Arabidopsis thaliana: one gene and its partner. The protein of the gene in region 2 interacts with the protein of the main gene of each other region in a pairwise test. Each region holds a gene or a part of one and is shown on either strand. Other genes may lie near its edges.

Region 1 (10,336 bases), on a different chromosome or scaffold from region 2:
CCTTATTCTTCTATCTCCAATACGCAGAGTTGACCTAAATGATTTTGTTCTGTAACAGGCTGAGAAGTTTTCGCCATCATCATTTTCCTTACCGTGTAAATCTACATCATCGGAGCATGTTGAAGGATTTTGGGGAATAGGTTTCCTGAATCCACTACCTATATGTTTCTCATCCTTACCTACAACATTCCTTGATAACTTTGCTTCAAAATTTAACCCTCCAAGCATTGATTTCTTATCATTAGACTCTGACCTATAGCAATCACCATTATTGATCTTGGATTCATCATACGCCAATTCTTGAGTTTCAAACTTCTCAGAGGAATCAGAAGTTATACCAGAAGAAGATCCAAAATGGAACTCTTTAAGGGGACTTGGAGATCTATTAAAGCTTTGCATTTCATGAGATTTTTGAAGAATCTCAGAGACAAAGAAACTCCGTTCAGCATTATTATTATCATGATCAGAATTTGTAGTCTCTTCTTCCACCATTATATCGCCGCCGTTAAGCGGCTCTTTCTTAACTGCACACTGATCTTCATTATTACCAGAGGTATTGTTACTTGAGGAAGAAGAATTCCCACCTTCAAGCAGCAGTTTTCCAGCTACTGCAGCCAACAAATCGAAAGACGATATTTGATGGTTTTCGCTTTTCTTCTTGAAAGCACTCTTCTAGCAAAACACAAAACACAAACATATATATCAGAAGGGAACATTAGAACATATATAAAACTGATAAGAAACACACAAAAAAGTTAAGAATTGTATTTACTCTTGGTGATCTGGCAGCTCGAGGTGTGTGAGGCACCTCATAGCCATTGAATCCATAATCGGGCCTCTTTTGCAACACCATGATTTGAAGAACATTTCAATCATTCAACAAAACGAAGGCATTCTCACGGATTACAAGATCCCTGGAGAAAAACAATTAGGTTACTGAGTCCAACAATGTATTAGCATTTATCTATAAAATTTCTTACGTTGCAAGAAAATCTCACATACTGTATATGTGATAGCAGATTATTTCCAATTTCAGACATCATTTTTTGTAAAACCCTAGCTAGAATCCAAGTTATTGAAATTTCCACGATCTAAAGCCTCATTTGATTAATGACCGTAGAGTGAAAACAGAGCATGAATTTACCAAGAAAAATAATGAACAATTCTGGTCTTGTAATATTTTCATGAAAAACAAACACGGTTCAGCTTCTGTGAGAAACCAAATTACAACATCAAAAAACCCTCAAGCTAGAAAACTATAAACATAAAAAACCGCAATTCAAATTGCAGATCCAAAAAAACTTCAAAAATAATCTCACCTTTTCTTCTGAAACAAGGTGAGATCAGAATGTTTATGATCTTATTTTCTCATCAACCCACACAAAGCAAAAAAGTTTCTGTCTTATTATTTATTTTTTGTTGTGGGAAATCGAAAAACCCCTTAATGTGGGAAAAAAGCACGGAAGGAGACAAGGGCTTAAACCCCTGGTCTTATACGAGAGTAGTAACACAGAGGACGTGTCTGAAAAAAGAAGAAGAGCGAATAACCGGCTATAACCAGTAAACCCCACCCTGAAGACCTGTTCTTCTTCTCCCTTCTTGGGTCACCACCACTGTCTCACGTACTTCCCCCTGATTCGGCCACGTGTTGTCTCTGTCGGATCGTCCGGCTTTTTTTACAACACACAAACTTCGACAATAACGTTGAGTCACACATGCCATGTAATGTTTTTTTTTTCCTTTCAGTCCAAGCCATGTCATTCTCCTGTTTATTTTATTTTGTCTTTTTCAGTTTTTCTTCTTCTATTTTATTTTATAATAACAAATTTGTTTTCATTGAGAACCCTATCTATTTTCTGATGCAAAATACTTTAACCTAAACCTAATTAACCTAACCGATCGATCAATTCGGTTTGCAGCTATCAACCGATCGGCAATGCTTCAAATATACTTTGGCATCACTGAACCGAACGGTTCTTCAGTTCTTTCCCAACCTGCCGAGAATCCGAATTGAATAGTCCTTCTAAATGCTGGAAACTTTGAACGGAACGATGGATCTGAGAGTAAATACCGAAGTGAAGCTCGTCTTCTTCTTCTTCTTCTCTGTCGGTAGCATCGAAATCGCGAAGGACAAAGAACACGTGTTTCAAGAAGATGAAATTAGGATTTCTTCTTGGGCTTACAAAGTTCCTACAGCCCAAAAAATAACATTTCTACACCACAGCCTACACTTTCGGCCCACAAAATAAAAACCCAGTGAATTTCCAAGCCCACCGAAAAAACCGAACCGCATAAACAGATTCTTTAAACCGAATAAAATCACAAATATCTGTATGAGTGGATATTCTTCTTGTATAATTAAAAGAGTACTTTCAACTTTCGATAGCACAAGAAGAAGCTATTAAGTATCAACACGTTCAACATACAGACTTAACACCCAAATTGTGCAATAGACGCTTCATAATACAAATTATACAGACTGATCATTATACACCCAACCATGAGAATAATGACTAACGTGCCTTTGGGTTTATTTCGGTGTCTACAACTATGCTCAGTTCCAGAGGACTGCTTAAGTCCACCTCTTGGCTTTTTCTCCACTTTTCACATGTTTCCAAACATTCGTTTAGCACATGAACGACCTGAGACATGTTTGGTCTCTCTTTGGAAGTACGGTTCACACATGACATTGCCAATTCAACAACTTTCCATGCAGAACTTGTGTCATAATCTTGATGGAGGTTTGGATCCACTATACTTTCAATATCACCATTTTCGAGTATAAAACTGGTCCATTCCACTATGTTACAATTTTCACGGGATAAATCAATCACATCTTGGCCGCTGATGATTTCCAGTAAGACAACCCCAAAGCTATATACATCACTCTTCATGCTTAACAAGCTGGTTTTGTGGTACCTATAACAAAAGATTTTAAAGATATGGTTCACTTTTTTTTTCAGAAAGCAAGAAAATCGATCGAAGACATGCATGTTTAAATGTACAATGTGATATAAATCCTCCACTACTTACTCCGGATCAAGATATCCAAATGTTCCAGCAACAACCGTAGGTTGAGCTTCATTTCCTATTAGGAAGGATCTTGAGAGTCCGAAATCAGCAATTTTGGCCTCAAATTCTTCACTCAACAATATATTAGTACTTTTGACATCTCTATGAACGATTTTTGGCTTGCATCCAGTATGCAAATACTCAATTCCTACCATATGTTAAACCTCGTATGTTAACTAATTATCATAAATATGGAGTTTAAGAGAGAATTTATATATATCAGCTTAAACTATATATAATAATATTTCTACACACCTATGGCGGATTCAAGAGCTATTTTAAGTCTTATCGGCCAGCTCAAAACAGAACAACCAGGTTTTCCTGCAATAACAACCAAGTGGCTTAAGAAGTTTGTTTGAAAGAGAACCTATAAATTGTTGTATCAAATTTTCATGTGTTTTACCTGAGAGATGCTCTTTTAAGTTTCCCTTTCCCATTAACTCGTAGATGAGAGCTAAGCCATTATCATCATCACAATATCCAATGAGGCTTACTAACTTTTCATGGTGAACTCTTAAAAGTAGTTCGACCTAACAATCAAGGACGACATAAAGAAAAAAGTGTAACCAATTGATTCCTGATCTCAAACATTAACCTCTTTTTCCAAAACTTTAGTAAAAGATTTAATAAGAATACCTCTGTTTTGAATTCTTTATAGCCCTGAGCTGATGAATGAGAAAGCACTTTAATAGCTGCTTGTTCATTATTTAAACAACCTTGATAGACAACACCGAACCCTCCTTTACCAATAACAACTTGAAAGTTATTTGTCATTTTGTTAACGTCAGAGTAAGTAAATCTTCTATTTTCCGATTTGAAGGATGAGCGTGTAACTGCATAGAAAAATTTAACAGAATTCCATGAGAGCTATACAATATGGGATTATATTCTTCTATATGTTATTCTCCTTTAAGTACCTTTCCCAGCAGATGGCTTTCTCCTTCTTAAAACAAATATGAGAACTAACACAAGTATGATAATGGCCACTGCAGAAACAGATGCCGCAACCGCAGCTGTTGGGAATCTTGTACCGCAAGACACACAAATCATATTTTCGTCAACCCTAAAGAATAAAGAACGTAGTGAATTTCAGAAACGAGAGTGGGCACGTAGTAAATCAATAAAGATCATCTCAAAAAGAAATCTTACAATAGCTTTAATCCTTCCTTTTTTCTATCAAGAAGGGCTTGAGGAACCAAACCGCTAAGTTTGTTTCCACTTAAGTTTCTGTGAATATATAGACAAATCAGTAGATCATCTAGTTAGTAAATGTAAAACATTATGATAAAAATGGCTTATTTTGCTTTCAACAACACTTACATGACCAACAAATATTTCATCTTGGCTAGAAATTCAGGCACTTTACCAGTCAAGTTGTTTTGGGACAGGTCCCTGTTGCAACAAAAAATTGTTAACAAGTGTTTTGAATACATCTTCATTTTGTTATAGAGATACGTACAGTTCTTGAAGTTGAGTTAGATTTTGTATGCTAGGTGGTATAACTCCATTTAATCCACTTGAAGACAAATCTCTGTTTGGAAGATCCAAGACATATCACATCAGATACATTTCAGGGCTTAAGATTTGCTAACAACATTGAGTTAGAATAAATGCTCTCACAATTTCACGATTCTTGGTGGTGTGGACACATCAATTACGTTGCAGCTTAAGCCAGTCCACAAAAACTGTTTAGGGACACATGGATCGCCCTGCCAGCTGATTCTGTTCAGTCCATAACTAGCTTGAATATTCTTTACAGCAATGACTGAAACATGGTGCAAATTAGCAAGAAATAATACGTGTAAAAAGCTATATGCATATTTGTTCAAAGGCAACATACCATCATTTTGATTTGTTTCTGATTGAGGAAACTCAATGCCCGTGAAAATTTCGAAAGCATTCATCAAGGGTGGAAGAGTCGATTTCGGAGTTTTTATAAGTTGCAGACGACAAAATCCTCCCTCGCATGTCAGTGGTACATTGTTGAACATAACTTGTGCTTCAAATCTGGTAGGACGGAAAGGATCGAAATGAACTTTATTATTTACCACAACTTCGAATTCTCTAGTTTCATTGGCCTGGACTTCCATGATCTCGGCGATGTAAATATAACCGTAAACCTGGTCAGTAGCCGTCTTCAAATTCCAGGTAATGGTCATTGGATCACTGGCATTAGCGGGCATGGCGCCGGTCCTAAGTACATCTTGTGGTGGGTCATAGCCATCTATAGAATCAATAACGTGGTGACTTGTGTTTATATGCGTCCATTCTGGTAATATCAACGGCACCCAAATTCTATCATGCACATCTTGGGGATAACTGCCAAAATCAAGTTATATATTTTACTTTACATCAACTAATAACAATAATTAATACTGTATAATCTTGGTTTACGCTAGATGGCTTAAATGACAATAATATTAAAGTTTTTGTGGAGATTAAAGTTTCTGCTCATAATCTACTTTGGTTATTTATAAAGCATAAGGTGAAAATAAGGTACCGTATATAGTTGTTTGAATCGGTGAAATAGAACCGGTTATAATTCCTCAAGGAACCGGTTTGAGCAATATAAGTATCATATAGCAAGGGTCTCAACTCTATGGATGATATCATTGGTGTACTCGTCCCTGTCTTGACGAGACATATGTCCAAGATGTTAGACCTTGTGATGTGAATGATCTCCTCCAGAACTCCATCACCTGACTTCCCCATATCTATGGTTGTCCAAATATTAGGACCAAGATAGAGGTCGAATCTTGGAGAATTGTTAAGCCCGTCATAGTTTCCATATCGAAACATAACCCTGATTAGATAATTTGTGTCTTGCTTGACATTTAGACTGTAACAATTTCGGATTCCATCCGGAAAGTATCTCAAAACCGTATATGGCTTCCTGAGTTTCATAAGCAAGTCTTTTTGGACATTACCAGTTTTTCCTCCTTGAATGAAATCAGCATCGGATATGTACGTCAGATTGCTATTTGCTTCGTTGTAAGGAGACTCGTTAGAAGCTAATCCACAATCCAAACTGATGAATCCTGGTAAGACCGAAAAGGGAGAGGTACATATTGTTTTTCTTATATAAAGTTCTATCTCAAAAAAAAATTTAGAATGGTTTATTTCCAAAATTATTGTAAAAAAGAAAAACAGATGATAAAAAGACCTTGTTGATTCTGAGATTGAACAAGATGTAAGATGGATAAAGTGGCACACGCAGCAAACAGAAGCCTGGTGCAAGTGTCCATTTTTGATGATTTCTTCGTTCACAACTAACAAAACTTACTACTACCAAAGTTTTGAAATGGACAAATTTTTAGTGTTATAAGCTGCAAATGGAATTAATCATGGTGACGTCTACGTATAAATTTTGTTTTAAAAACTTAAACTTTTGCCATGGTTTTATCTAACGAATAATAACAGCTAACCACTGGTATAATATCCATATAAAATAAATCAAGACGTTAGTGGTTGATTATAAAATTTTTGAAATGAAAAATATGCAACCAGGTTATATACTCTCTATATTTTAAAAATCTCGATTCATTTGTTCACTTTTGCTTATATTCGTGGTTTGATTCTGACACGATCGGTGACTTTGCCATATATGAATATGACATCCCTTCACACACACGGTAATAACTCATTTTCTCAGGTTAATCTACTATAGGTGTGCTTGATGATAACCAATTAGAATCAATCAGTTCTACTAATTTCCACTTGCAAACCTTTTTTATAAAATTTAAACATGACACACACTTGTCAGATTTTATAATTCCACTTGAGAAAAGTCTTACCATAATCAAATTATTAGACAAATTATTTCGAATTTGGTTAGAAGATCGGTCCAACTCAATAGGTGGCTTATTGTTATTGGTATGTGAACGTTGACATATTTCCCGTTATGATCCGCCCCAAGCAGAAATATAAGTTAATAAATAATTATTTAACAATTCATCCGTTTTTTATATCCAAAGGTTTGATTTGGCATGTTTTATATTGCAAGTACATTGGCAATTCGTAATCCTTTTTTTTTTTTGGACAGAGGTGGGAAAATGAAAAACCTCCGTGGACTTCTATTGGCCTTCCTAGTTTTGTCTTTAGGCATTTCCGATTTTCTTCGAGCACAAGATCAACAAGGTATAACTTTTTTTGTTTCAGGTTTTCTTCTTTTAACTTTGACTAAACATGTTTCCTATCACAATTTAGTCATTAATTCAGTTTCCAAACTTATTTTTTTACCAAATTATTTCTCTGTTTTTTTTCTTTTGCCTTTATCAGGATTCATCAGTTTGGATTGCGGGTTGCAAGCCGATGAGTCTCCTTATACCGAACCATTAACAAAGTTAACATTCACATCAGACGCCGATTTCATCAAAAGTGGAAAAAGCGGCAAGATTCAAAATGTTCCGGGGATGGAGTATATAAAGCCATACACGGTTTTGAGATATTTTCCAGATGGAGTACGAAACTGTTATACTCTTATCGTCATACAAGGCACAAACTATCTGATCGTAGCCATGTTTACTTATGGAAACTACGATAATCTTAACACACACCCAAAGTTCGACCTTTATCTTGGTCCAAATATATGGACCACGGTCGATTTGCAAAGAAATGTAAACGGAACAAGGGCGGAAATCATTCACATACCAAGGTCAACTTCTTTGCAGATTTGTCTTGTTAAGACGGGAACAACTACGCCGCTAATATCAGCTTTAGAACTACGACCATTGAGAAATAATACTTATATTCCTCAATCTGGTTCCCTCAAGACATTGTTCCGCGTCCATTTGACTGATTCCAAAGAAACTGTTCGGTAAGCCAACTCAAAACCAATTGGTAATGAATAGATTGGTTTCCACTGGATACACTGTTCGGTAATACTTTCCATCCTTTCTCTTCAGGTATCCAGAAGATGTCCATGATCGTCTTTGGAGTCCATTTTTCATGCCGGAATGGAGACTGTTAAGAACAAGTCTCACGGTCAACACTTCTGATGATAACGGCTATGACATACCGGAAGACGTAGTGGTTACGGCAGCCACACCTGCAAATGTGAGTTCACCATTAACCATTTCTTGGAATTTGGAAACACCTGACGACTTAGTTTATGCATACCTCCACGTCGCTGAGATCCAATCCTTAAGGGAAAATGATACCAGGGAATTCAACATTAGCGCAGGCCAAGATGTTAACTATGGACCTGTTAGTCCTGACGAGTTTCTAGTGGGTACTCTATTCAATACATCACCAGTTAAATGTGAAGGAGGGACATGCCATTTGCAACTAATAAAAACTCCAAAATCAACTCTCCCTCCCCTCCTCAATGCTATTGAGGCTTTTATAACAGTGGAGTTTCCGCAGTCTGAAACTAATGCAAATGACGGTATGTCAGCAAAATCTGAGTATATATATACTTTTTTGTATATACTTAAGTGTTTTCATTCTGTTATTGTGTGTTAGTCCTTGCTATCAAGAGCATAGAAACAAGCTATGGATTAAGTAGAATTAGTTGGCAAGGAGATCCATGTGTTCCTCAACAATTATTGTGGGATGGTCTTACCTGCGAGTACACCAATATGTCTACACCACCAAGAATCCATTCCTTGTACGTCCATGGCTATTCGTAACATTAAAACAGTTTTTTGTTAAGCTCTGCATTTCGTAACATCTTACACTTTAAATGTGTGTTATGATCTTTAATTACCACCAGAGACTTGTCCTCAAGTGAACTAACTGGAATTATAGTTCCTGAGATCCAAAATCTTACGGAGCTTAAAAAATTGTAAGTATGAACACATTGCCAATTTTTTATCAAGGTCAAACACATACTCTGTTTTACCTGAATACTCTGTTTTACTTGAATACTCTGTTTATCAAGGCCAAACATATAATCAATTAATTCATTTTTGCATATGATAGGGACTTTTCAAATAATAATCTAACAGGTGGAGTACCTGAATTTCTAGCCAAAATGAAATCATTGTTAGTCATGTAAGTTACTTGGTCACTCATATGAATCACATTGCCAATTTATTATCCGAGTCTGTTGATGTTTATTTTTTACCTAGGCAGAAACTTAAGCGGAAACAACCTTAGTGGATCAGTCCCTCAAGCTCTTCTCAACAAAGTGAAAAATGGGTTGAAGTTGAAGTAAGATCTTCTCAACTATATTTAGTCTTCAATAGTTGATGGTCATTGAAATATGATATCTTAATTTGCAGTATGTCTTCACTAACACTTGATTAGCTTGTTTACAATACTAGCATTCAGGGAAATCCAAACCTATGTTTTTCCAGTTCATGCAACAAAAAGAAAAATAGCATCATGTTACCAGTTGTTGCATCACTTGCTTCTTTGGCTGCTATAATAGCAATGATCGCTCTGCTTTTTGTTTGTATTAAAAGACGCTCATCAAGCAGAAAAGGTATCTGTATCAAATTCATCAAACCAGAAATATTATTGTATGCATACATAATTATAAAGTGATTTCTAATTATTTGTGTATGGTTCTAGGTCCATCACCAAGCCAACAATCAATAGAAACAATAAAGAAAAGATATACATATGCCGAAGTTCTTGCCATGACAAAGAAATTTGAAAGGGTTTTGGGTAAAGGAGGATTTGGAATGGTCTATCATGGTTATATAAATGGTACTGAAGAAGTAGCGGTCAAGCTACTCTCTCCATCATCAGCTCAAGGCTATAAAGAGTTCAAAACAGAGGTTTCTTTGGCACCCTTATGAATTTTTATACATTTTTGTAAGGCTAAGTTGACGTATATTATATATTGTACATATTTGGATAGGTAGAACTTCTTCTAAGGGTTTACCACACAAATCTGGTAAGTCTTGTTGGATACTGTGATGAAAAAGATCATCTGGCCCTCATCTACCAGTACATGGTCAATGGCGATTTGAAAAAACATTTTTCAGGTAACACATGTATATTCTCATGCATATATCATGACAGAAATGCATCGTGTTGATATGTGACATTCATGTCTATGCTAATACATGCAGGTAGCTCCATCATTAGCTGGGTTGATAGACTAAACATAGCTGTTGATGCAGCGTCAGGTTCGTCATTTTCATTTCCTTTTAACACCACTTGATCAAACTTTCTATTGTTTTGTTAAACACCAAAGAACTTTGGAGACAGGTTTGGAGTACTTGCATATTGGTTGCAAACCGCTGATAGTTCATAGAGATGTAAAAAGTTCTAACATACTATTGGACGATCAATTACAAGCTAAGCTTGCAGA
Region 2 (8,016 bases):
TGGAATCTTTTTCCAAAAACATGTCACATTTTCTGACAATGACGATTTACTTGATTTAATGGGTTTTTAGTTTTTTACAAATTCTTTGGACGAATTTTCCTAATAAATATCTTCTATTTACTAGCTAGTGGCATCCTAATCTACAGTACTAATGGGCGGTGATTTCCAGCACTCACTGATTAGAAAATACTAGTTTGCTAACCATTTTTTATAGTATTCATTTTTCTCGCATAATTTATACTATAATTTTAATTCACTCTACAAACATCTTTTTTTTTTTCTTTTGTAATACACTCTTTTGTATTTTATTAAGATACGAAACACATACATCAAGCTAAAAAGGTCATAGACAACAAACTAGCCAAAGCAAAACATAAAACCTAAGACTTTTCAAAACGAAAAGCCCAACTATGAAGCCCAACAAGAAGAAACCGCATCAGAAGAGATATCAATCTTATTCTTAGCCCAACACATTACCAAAAAGAAATCTTATTCTTAGCCCAACAAGCAGAGAGAGAGAGAGACTCAGACTACCTTAGGGATCCGTTTTTCAACTTTCCCCCAATTTCTCTCCAGAAATCGAATCGAACTTTGTTCTTCTTCTTCGTCCAAGCTTTAGAATCGAAAATCGATGGCGGATCAAAGTTGTAAGCCGTTGCAGTTTTTCGTGAGACTACTCGACGGAAAATCAGTAACCCTAACCTTTTCCTCTCCGATAGCGTGTGGCGAGCAGATCAAGCAGCGGATCTTCGAGCAAACGAAGATTCCGACGCATCTACAGAGATTGATAAGCGGAGGATTCCAAATCCCCGGCGCATCCGCGATTTCTCAGTCTGACACCACCATGAATCTTGTCCTGTCCCTCCGTGGAGGCAAAGGTGGACTCGGATCGTTACTTCGTAATGTGGTTATGAAAGCTGGACAGAAGAAGACAAACAATTTCGATTCGTGTAGGGATATGAGTGAACGGAGATGTAAACGCCGAGAACAGGCTTCAGGAGTGGAAGGATGGTGAATAAGGGAGGAATTTTGAGAAAAAGGCTCTTGAGTATCTGAAGGAGCAATCCAATAATGCTAAACAAGGTGTTGGAGATGGAGCTACGCAGAAGAATGTCAACAAGTATAAGGGGGGATCTGATAAGTGTATTTTGGCTGTGCATTTGGCTTTGAACGAAACTTTCAAGAATGGGAATAAGAGAAAAGGGAAGAAGATGGGTACTGCAGAATCTGAAAAATCGAAACGAATCAAAATATGGAATGGAAAGAGAGCTGTTGAAGATAGTGACAGTGATGATAGCAGTGACGAGGAAGATGAGAAATCTGTTGTTGGTGGTCAAGTTGATTCAGATCATAAGGATACTGATGAAAGCTCAGGCTCTGTTTTGGATGGATCCCATGATGGTGAGAACGACTTTGTAGTGCACCAAAGTTCAGATGTAGTTAAGGGAGAGATCACGGTTGTTCAAAGAATTAACGAAGAGAAGATGGATGATTTTGCTGTTGCTGATGCAATGGATCAACTTGAAAAGGTGGAGAAATCAAGTGGAAACGATGATTTTGTCGTAAAGAGAGGAGGAACTGCGAAAGAAAGAGTGTGTTGCAAACCTGTTGAACCGCTTAACTTTGCTGAGTTCAAAGCAGCCACAGATATGGAGGTTTTGGGGATGGAGAGATTGAAGACTGAGCTTCAGTCACGCGGTCTGAAATGCAGAGGGACATTGCGAGAGCGAGCTGCGAGGCTATTTTTACTTAAATCAACGCCCCTCGATAAGCTCCCGAAGAAATTACTGGCCAAGAAATGAAGACCAACATCCATCTTCAAAAAGATTACACCCTTTTGAAGTTTTTTGGCTTGTAGTTCAAATCATACAAGCCATTATGTAAATAAGAAATGTGTGTTAGATGACAAGGCCTAGGAGTTCAAATGTTTCAGTTATCTTTGGTTAAGTCCCTACCGAAATGGGTTCTAAGCCCAAATGTTTTAAAAACCTATAGCCTTATTTGAAAAAACGACAATTTTCAGTCACCAAGCCTAAACTTCCTCTTATTAAAGACAAGTTTTTCTCCTTTTAAAACACCATTAGCATTAATCATCATCACATTGATAACTAGATTTTACGATATTACCTTCCCACGTTATGCTTATGCATGATAAAAAAATATTGATGATGCATTCATTACGATATTACCTTCCCACGTTATTCAAATTGGTAAGCCTCTGATGACCCCATCGTCTCTCTCCCATATCAGTGCCGGGAAACCGGAGCAGTTGCGTGACTTAGAGTATTCATGACGCAATGGCACCGTTGTACTTCATGTTCCAAAACAAATAAGAAGACGCAACGCCACCATCCGTTTACTCCATTAGTATGTGTATATAAGCCATATCAAACTTCAACTCCTCCAAACTAACTTCGCTAGAGAATAATGGCATCTGTTTACTCCACCCTAACCTACTGGCTCGTCCACCACCCCTACATTGCCAACTTCACGTGGACCGAAGGTGAAACACTAGGCTCCACCGTTTTCTTTGTCTTTGTCGTCGTCTCCCTTTACCTCTCCGCCACATTCCTCCTCCGATACACCGTCGATTCACTCCCCACACTCGGTCCCCGCATTCTCAAACCAATCACAGCCGTTCACAGCCTCATTCTCTTCCTCCTCTCCTTAACCATGGCCGTTGGTTGCACTCTCTCCCTAATCTCTTCCTCGGACCCGAAGGCGCGTCTCTTCGACGCCGTTTGTTTCCCCCTCGACGTGAAACCTAAGGGACCGCTTTTCTTTTGGGCTCAAGTCTTTTACCTCTCGAAGATCCTTGAGTTCGTAGACACACTTCTCATCATACTCAACAAATCAATCCAACGGCTCTCGTTCCTCCACGTCTACCACCACGCAACGGTTGTGATTTTGTGCTACCTCTGGTTACGAACACGTCAATCGATGTTTCCTGTTGGGCTCGTGTTGAACTCGACGGTCCATGTGATTATGTACGGGTACTATTTCCTCTGCGCTATCGGATCGAGGCCCAAGTGGAAGAAGTTGGTGACGAATTTTCAAATGGTTCAGTTTGCTTTCGGCATGGGGTTAGGAGCCGCTTGGATGCTCCCAGAGCATTATTTCGGGTCGGGTTGCGCCGGGATTTGGACAGTTTATTTCAATGGTGTGTTTACTGCTTCTCTATTGGCTCTCTTCTACAACTTCCACTCCAAGAACTATGAGAAGACTACAACGTCGCCTTTGTATAAGATCGAATCCTTTATATTTATTCACGGAGAGAGGTGGGCAAATAAAGCGATTACATTATTTTCCAAGAAAAACGATTAAATTGTCATGATTATTATATATATATCTAGTTTGGATATGTTGATGTGTGTTGTTAGTTGTTACTGTAAAATGTTGGGATGCATGGTTTGAAATTGTTTTATATATTAACGAATAAGATGACAAAATATATAAAAATGTCACATAAAATCATCATGATCGTCTGATTCTTCTTATTGCATACATCTTTCTATACAACATTTGCCAACCAACGTTTCTTTAAAGGATTGGACACTGAGATTAGTTCTATAATATTTTTTATGCCTACCAGTGTTGGTTCATCAACCACTGGTCGTACCAAACCCTCTCTTTATGATAATGGAGGAGAGAGTGACCACGGTTTTTAAGAGCCGCCGCTGCTACAATGGGCCTATCTCGTAGTCCTCATAAACCGGGCTAGAACTACGGGCTACGGCGGCGTGGCCCAATTCAACAAATAACAACAACAGTAGCATATCATCTAAATATAATATTATACGATACTATACTTAAAAAAGATAAAAACAAGATCCTCTGGGACCCACTTTCATGAAAATTAGCCAATTGGGTAAGCCTTTGATCCTTCATCTCTCGCTAAACCATATCTTCAAACGTCAACTCCCCAAACTTCGTCGGCGATTCACCGGAGGCTATGGCATCAATTTACTCCTCTTTAACCTACTGGCTCGTTAACCACCCCTACATCTCCAATTTTACTTGGATCGAAGGTGAAACCCTAGGCTCCACCGTCTTTTTCGTATCCGTCGTAGTCTCCGTTTACCTCTCCGCCACGTTCCTCCTCCGATCCGCCATCGATTCACTCCCATCACTCAGTCCACGTATCCTCAAACCGATCACAGCCGTCCACAGCCTAATCCTCTGTCTCCTCTCCTTAGTCATGGCCGTCGGTTGCACTCTCTCAATAACCTCATCTCACGCGTCTTCAGATCCGATGGCGCGTTTCCTTCACGCGATTTGCTTTCCCGTCGACGTTAAACCTAACGGACCGCTTTTCTTCTGGGCTCAAGTCTTCTACCTCTCGAAGATCCTCGAGTTCGGAGACACGATCCTCATCATACTCGGCAAATCAATCCAACGGCTATCCTTCCTCCACGTGTACCACCACGCGACGGTTGTGGTCATGTGTTATCTCTGGCTCCGAACTCGCCAATCGATGTTTCCGATTGCGCTCGTGACGAATTCGACGGTACACGTCATCATGTACGGTTACTACTTCCTCTGCGCCGTTGGATCGAGGCCCAAGTGGAAGAGATTGGTGACGGATTGTCAGATTGTTCAGTTTGTTTTCAGTTTCGGGTTATCCGGTTGGATGCTCCGAGAGCACTTATTCGGGTCGGGTTGCACCGGGATTTGGGGATGGTGTTTCAACGCTGCATTTAATGCTTCTCTTTTGGCTCTCTTTTCCAACTTCCATTCAAAGAATTATGTCAAGAAGCCAACGAGAGAGGATGGCAAAAAAAGCGATTAGATTGGTTTCTTGGACAATAAGTAAAACCTCTCATTGTGTCTTGAATTGTTGATTAGTTTCCACACAAAAGGATTAATTGTCTTGAATTGTTGTTTATTTTGAAATTTTTGTCTGTGTTGTACTTGCAAATGTTGAGATACTTTTGTACTTGTATGAATATAAGATGACAGAAAATATCAAAATATCACAAAAGTCATGACATGGACTCATCATCTCTAATTCTTTGACTGAAAAGTACGTTCAATCTAAAGAATTCATGCAATGATGTAAGCAAGAATTGAATTTAAACATCGTTCACCATTCCAAGAACATTGTAAATTTATCATCTCTAAATGCTGTATCTGTCTATCTAGAAGACTAGAATTACAGTTTTTCCCAAGTTCTTCCTTTGATGCTAGTCTAGATTTTTCTGAAGGCAATAGAAGGCGTTTACATAAACGATAAAAATTCTCAAATACATTACAAACTAATTCTCCATGATACAACAAGAACATGAGAAAAAAATAAAAAAATGAAAATAAAGAAACCTCAGCCAACAAATCTGAGAAGACGTGTCAGCTGTCTGATTTGGTGAATCCATTCAATACCCAAAAAATTTGGGGTGAGCTTGTGATATCTCCGTAGTGAGGATTTATATCATTCTATGATTTGGTTTTAGGGTTCTTCATCAACCACTGGTCGTACTAAAGCCGCTTCTACCTCCGATTCAACAACCCCATTCCCTTGTCTCTCAGACAAGGATGTAGGAACCACGTTTTCAATCGCTGCCGCGGCATTCATGTCCAGGTTCACTACAGATTCAACTGGTGGTTTAATATCAAACCCAGAAACACGTGGCGCTCTATCTCGTCTTTCATAAACCGGACTAGGACTACGGCTATAGCTTCTGCTCCTGTTATGACCACCTCGGTCACGGCTATGTCTAGGGCTGCGACTCCTTGAACGTGACCAGCTCCTGCTACGGCTACGGCTACGACTATAGCTCCCGCTCCGGCTTCGACTCCGGCTATAGCTCGAGCTACGGCGCCGTGGCCGAACCAAATCAGGACTTCTGCTGCGACTTCTACCTCTTCTGTTGTCAAACCGTCCAACACCACGACCAAAGCCTCTACCACTACCACGACCAAAGCCTCGGCTCTCCATATTATTATTATTGCCAAACCGACCAAATCCGCCTCTACCACCCACATTCATATGACCAGCATCAGGACCAGTAAAACCCCGACCACGATTCCCGCCACGTCCAAATGAGTCATCTCTCATTCCAAATCTTCCCCCACGGCCTCCAAATCCACCCTCACGGCCCCCAAATCCACCCTCACGGCCTCCAAACCCACCCTCACGGCCACTAAACCCACCACCACGCCCACCAAACCCACCACCAGAATCCCAACGGGTACCACCACCGCCAGAGTCAAACCGGTTAACCATACCTCTTCGATCCTGGCTATAACCGGGACCACCACCACCACCACCACGCATTGCAATATCTCTTACTTGAGGCGGTACTTGCTGGTTCGCTCCTTCCAGGACTTTGATCAAATCAGGTGCGTATTTCCAATCTTGCTCTGTAAAGAAAGTGAATGCAACTCCAGTTGCACCAGCTCGACCGGTTCTCCCAATACGGTGGACATAGTCTTCAACTCCAGTTGGAAAATCGTAGTTGATCACAACTCTGAAGTAGTATAAACACGAACAAAGGTAAGTAATCTTGATAACAAACAAGCAAAGAGATATATACCAGGAATTATTACAACAAACCGTATGTCTTTTATGTCGAGTCCCCGGGCAGCAACGTCAGTAGCTATCAGTACACAAGACTTCCCGCTTCGGAACTGGTTAAGCACCCAATCTCTCTCACCTTGAGTCTTGTCTCCATGGATCACAACAGCGCCAAAATGACGTCCGACACTACGTGCAAGATGGTCACAAAGCCTCTTCGTGGAGCAAAATATTATAACTTTTGAACCTCGTTCTTGTGACCTAAGGATTTGCTCCAAACGTCTCTCTTTCTCCATTTGTGGGACTACTTCAACATACTGCGTTATAAGGATGGGTTTGCTTCAGTAACCTCATCACCAAGTTATGTGTAAGTATTGCTTTACAGTGATATAAAATGGTTTAGATGATCATCACCTGCGTTATTGCTTTGTTAGCAGCCAACTCATCTACCCTGCCTATGTTAACTTGGACAGGGTTCACAAGAAGATCGCTTGCAATTTTTCTTACTTCTTTTGGCCAAGTGGCTGTGTACATAAGAGTCTGTCTCCGAGGAGGTATTTCATTCACAATCTTACGGATTTGGGGTTCAAAACCCATGTCAAGCATTCGGTCTGCCTCGTCAAGCACAAGAAGGGAAACCTGCTGGAAATCAATCATCTTCATCTCCAGTATATCATTTAGACGCCCAGGAGTTGCCACCACAATATCAGCTCCTCGTTCCAACTCTTTCAATTGAGGACCCTTTGGAGCTCCACCATACAAACACTGATGACCAGAACATAGATTCGTAAACAAAAACACAGTATGGCTCTATCAGCCTAGCGATAACTGTCAACGAGACTCAAATTAAACTTACAGTGCATGATATCCTGGAAGACCGTCCAAACCTTAGTGCTTCGTCTTGTATTTGTGTGGCTAGCTCCCGAGTAGGAGCTAGGATCAAAACTGTGGGGCCATTGCGGGAGTCGTTACGACAGTGCCTTAGAAGAATGAAGGCAGGGATCAAGTATCCCAATGTTTTACCAGAACCAGTTTTTGCAATTGCAACTATATCCCTGCTTTGCAGAGCAATTGGCCATGTTTGGGCCTGGATCGGTGTTGGCGATGGAAATCCAGCAGAAAGCAACTGAAAAACAAAGACAAAAACATTAGCACACCATATATGTGAAGAACCTACGCCACTGATAAAGTTCATTATAAAACTGACCTCTCTAAGGATTTCAGGTGGGAGACCACTAGATTCAAATGTGATGTATGGTGCTGGAATGTTCTCGCCCTGCGCAACAAACGATTAATTATTAAAGGCCGTAAACAGATTAGAATACATGAGAAAGTGCAAGGTTTAACACTATTCTAAAATGCTATTACTTATTCCAGTTGAAGTTCGTCCAATCCCACATTCTCAGTAGAGTTTTATGGACAAACATTCACTGAAACAACAATTGCAAAATATTACAGCACATTATAGCTTTAAAACATTAAACTGACAAGTTAAGCAAAGGAAT

The links. The genes of interacting proteins can lie anywhere in the genome.
Region 1: the proteins of AT3G06470 (region 2) and AT1G07550 interact in a protein complementation assay, tested with the Arabidopsis thaliana proteins (one large-scale study listed by BioGRID).

What each region holds. Positions count from the first base shown.
Region 1 is NC_003070.9:2,320,196-2,330,531, forward strand, and holds AT1G07550 (Leucine-rich repeat protein kinase family protein), read right to left. Parts: upstream 6,376-10,336; 5' UTR 6,318-6,375; coding exon 6,236-6,317; intron 6,111-6,235; coding exon 5,573-6,110; intron 5,392-5,572; coding exon 4,913-5,391; intron 4,838-4,912; coding exon 4,693-4,837; intron 4,604-4,692; coding exon 4,532-4,603; intron 4,465-4,531; coding exon 4,393-4,464; intron 4,300-4,392; coding exon 4,222-4,299; intron 4,136-4,221; coding exon 3,990-4,135; intron 3,906-3,989; coding exon 3,709-3,905; intron 3,603-3,708; coding exon 3,476-3,602; intron 3,394-3,475; coding exon 3,328-3,393; intron 3,221-3,327; coding exon 3,034-3,220; intron 2,920-3,033; coding exon 2,514-2,919; 3' UTR 2,348-2,513; downstream 1-2,347. Other genes in the region: TRFL2 (TRF-like 2), read right to left, coding at 1-672, 773-853; AT1G07560 (Leucine-rich repeat protein kinase family protein), read left to right, coding at 7,125-7,209, 7,351-7,888, 7,977-8,458, 8,536-8,680, 8,786-8,857, 8,995-9,066, 9,148-9,225, 9,339-9,499 and 4 more.
Region 2 is NC_003074.8:1,980,254-1,988,269, forward strand, and holds AT3G06470 (GNS1/SUR4 membrane protein family), read left to right. Parts: upstream 1-3,477; 5' UTR 3,478-3,952; coding exon 3,953-4,789; 3' UTR 4,790-5,077; downstream 5,078-8,016. Other genes in the region: AT3G06455 (ubiquitin family protein), read left to right, coding at 632-950, 1,084-1,802; AT3G06460 (GNS1/SUR4 membrane protein family), read left to right, coding at 2,428-3,324; AT3G06480 (DEAD box RNA helicase family protein), read right to left, coding at 5,444-6,464, 6,551-6,828, 6,926-7,276, 7,368-7,637, 7,719-7,787.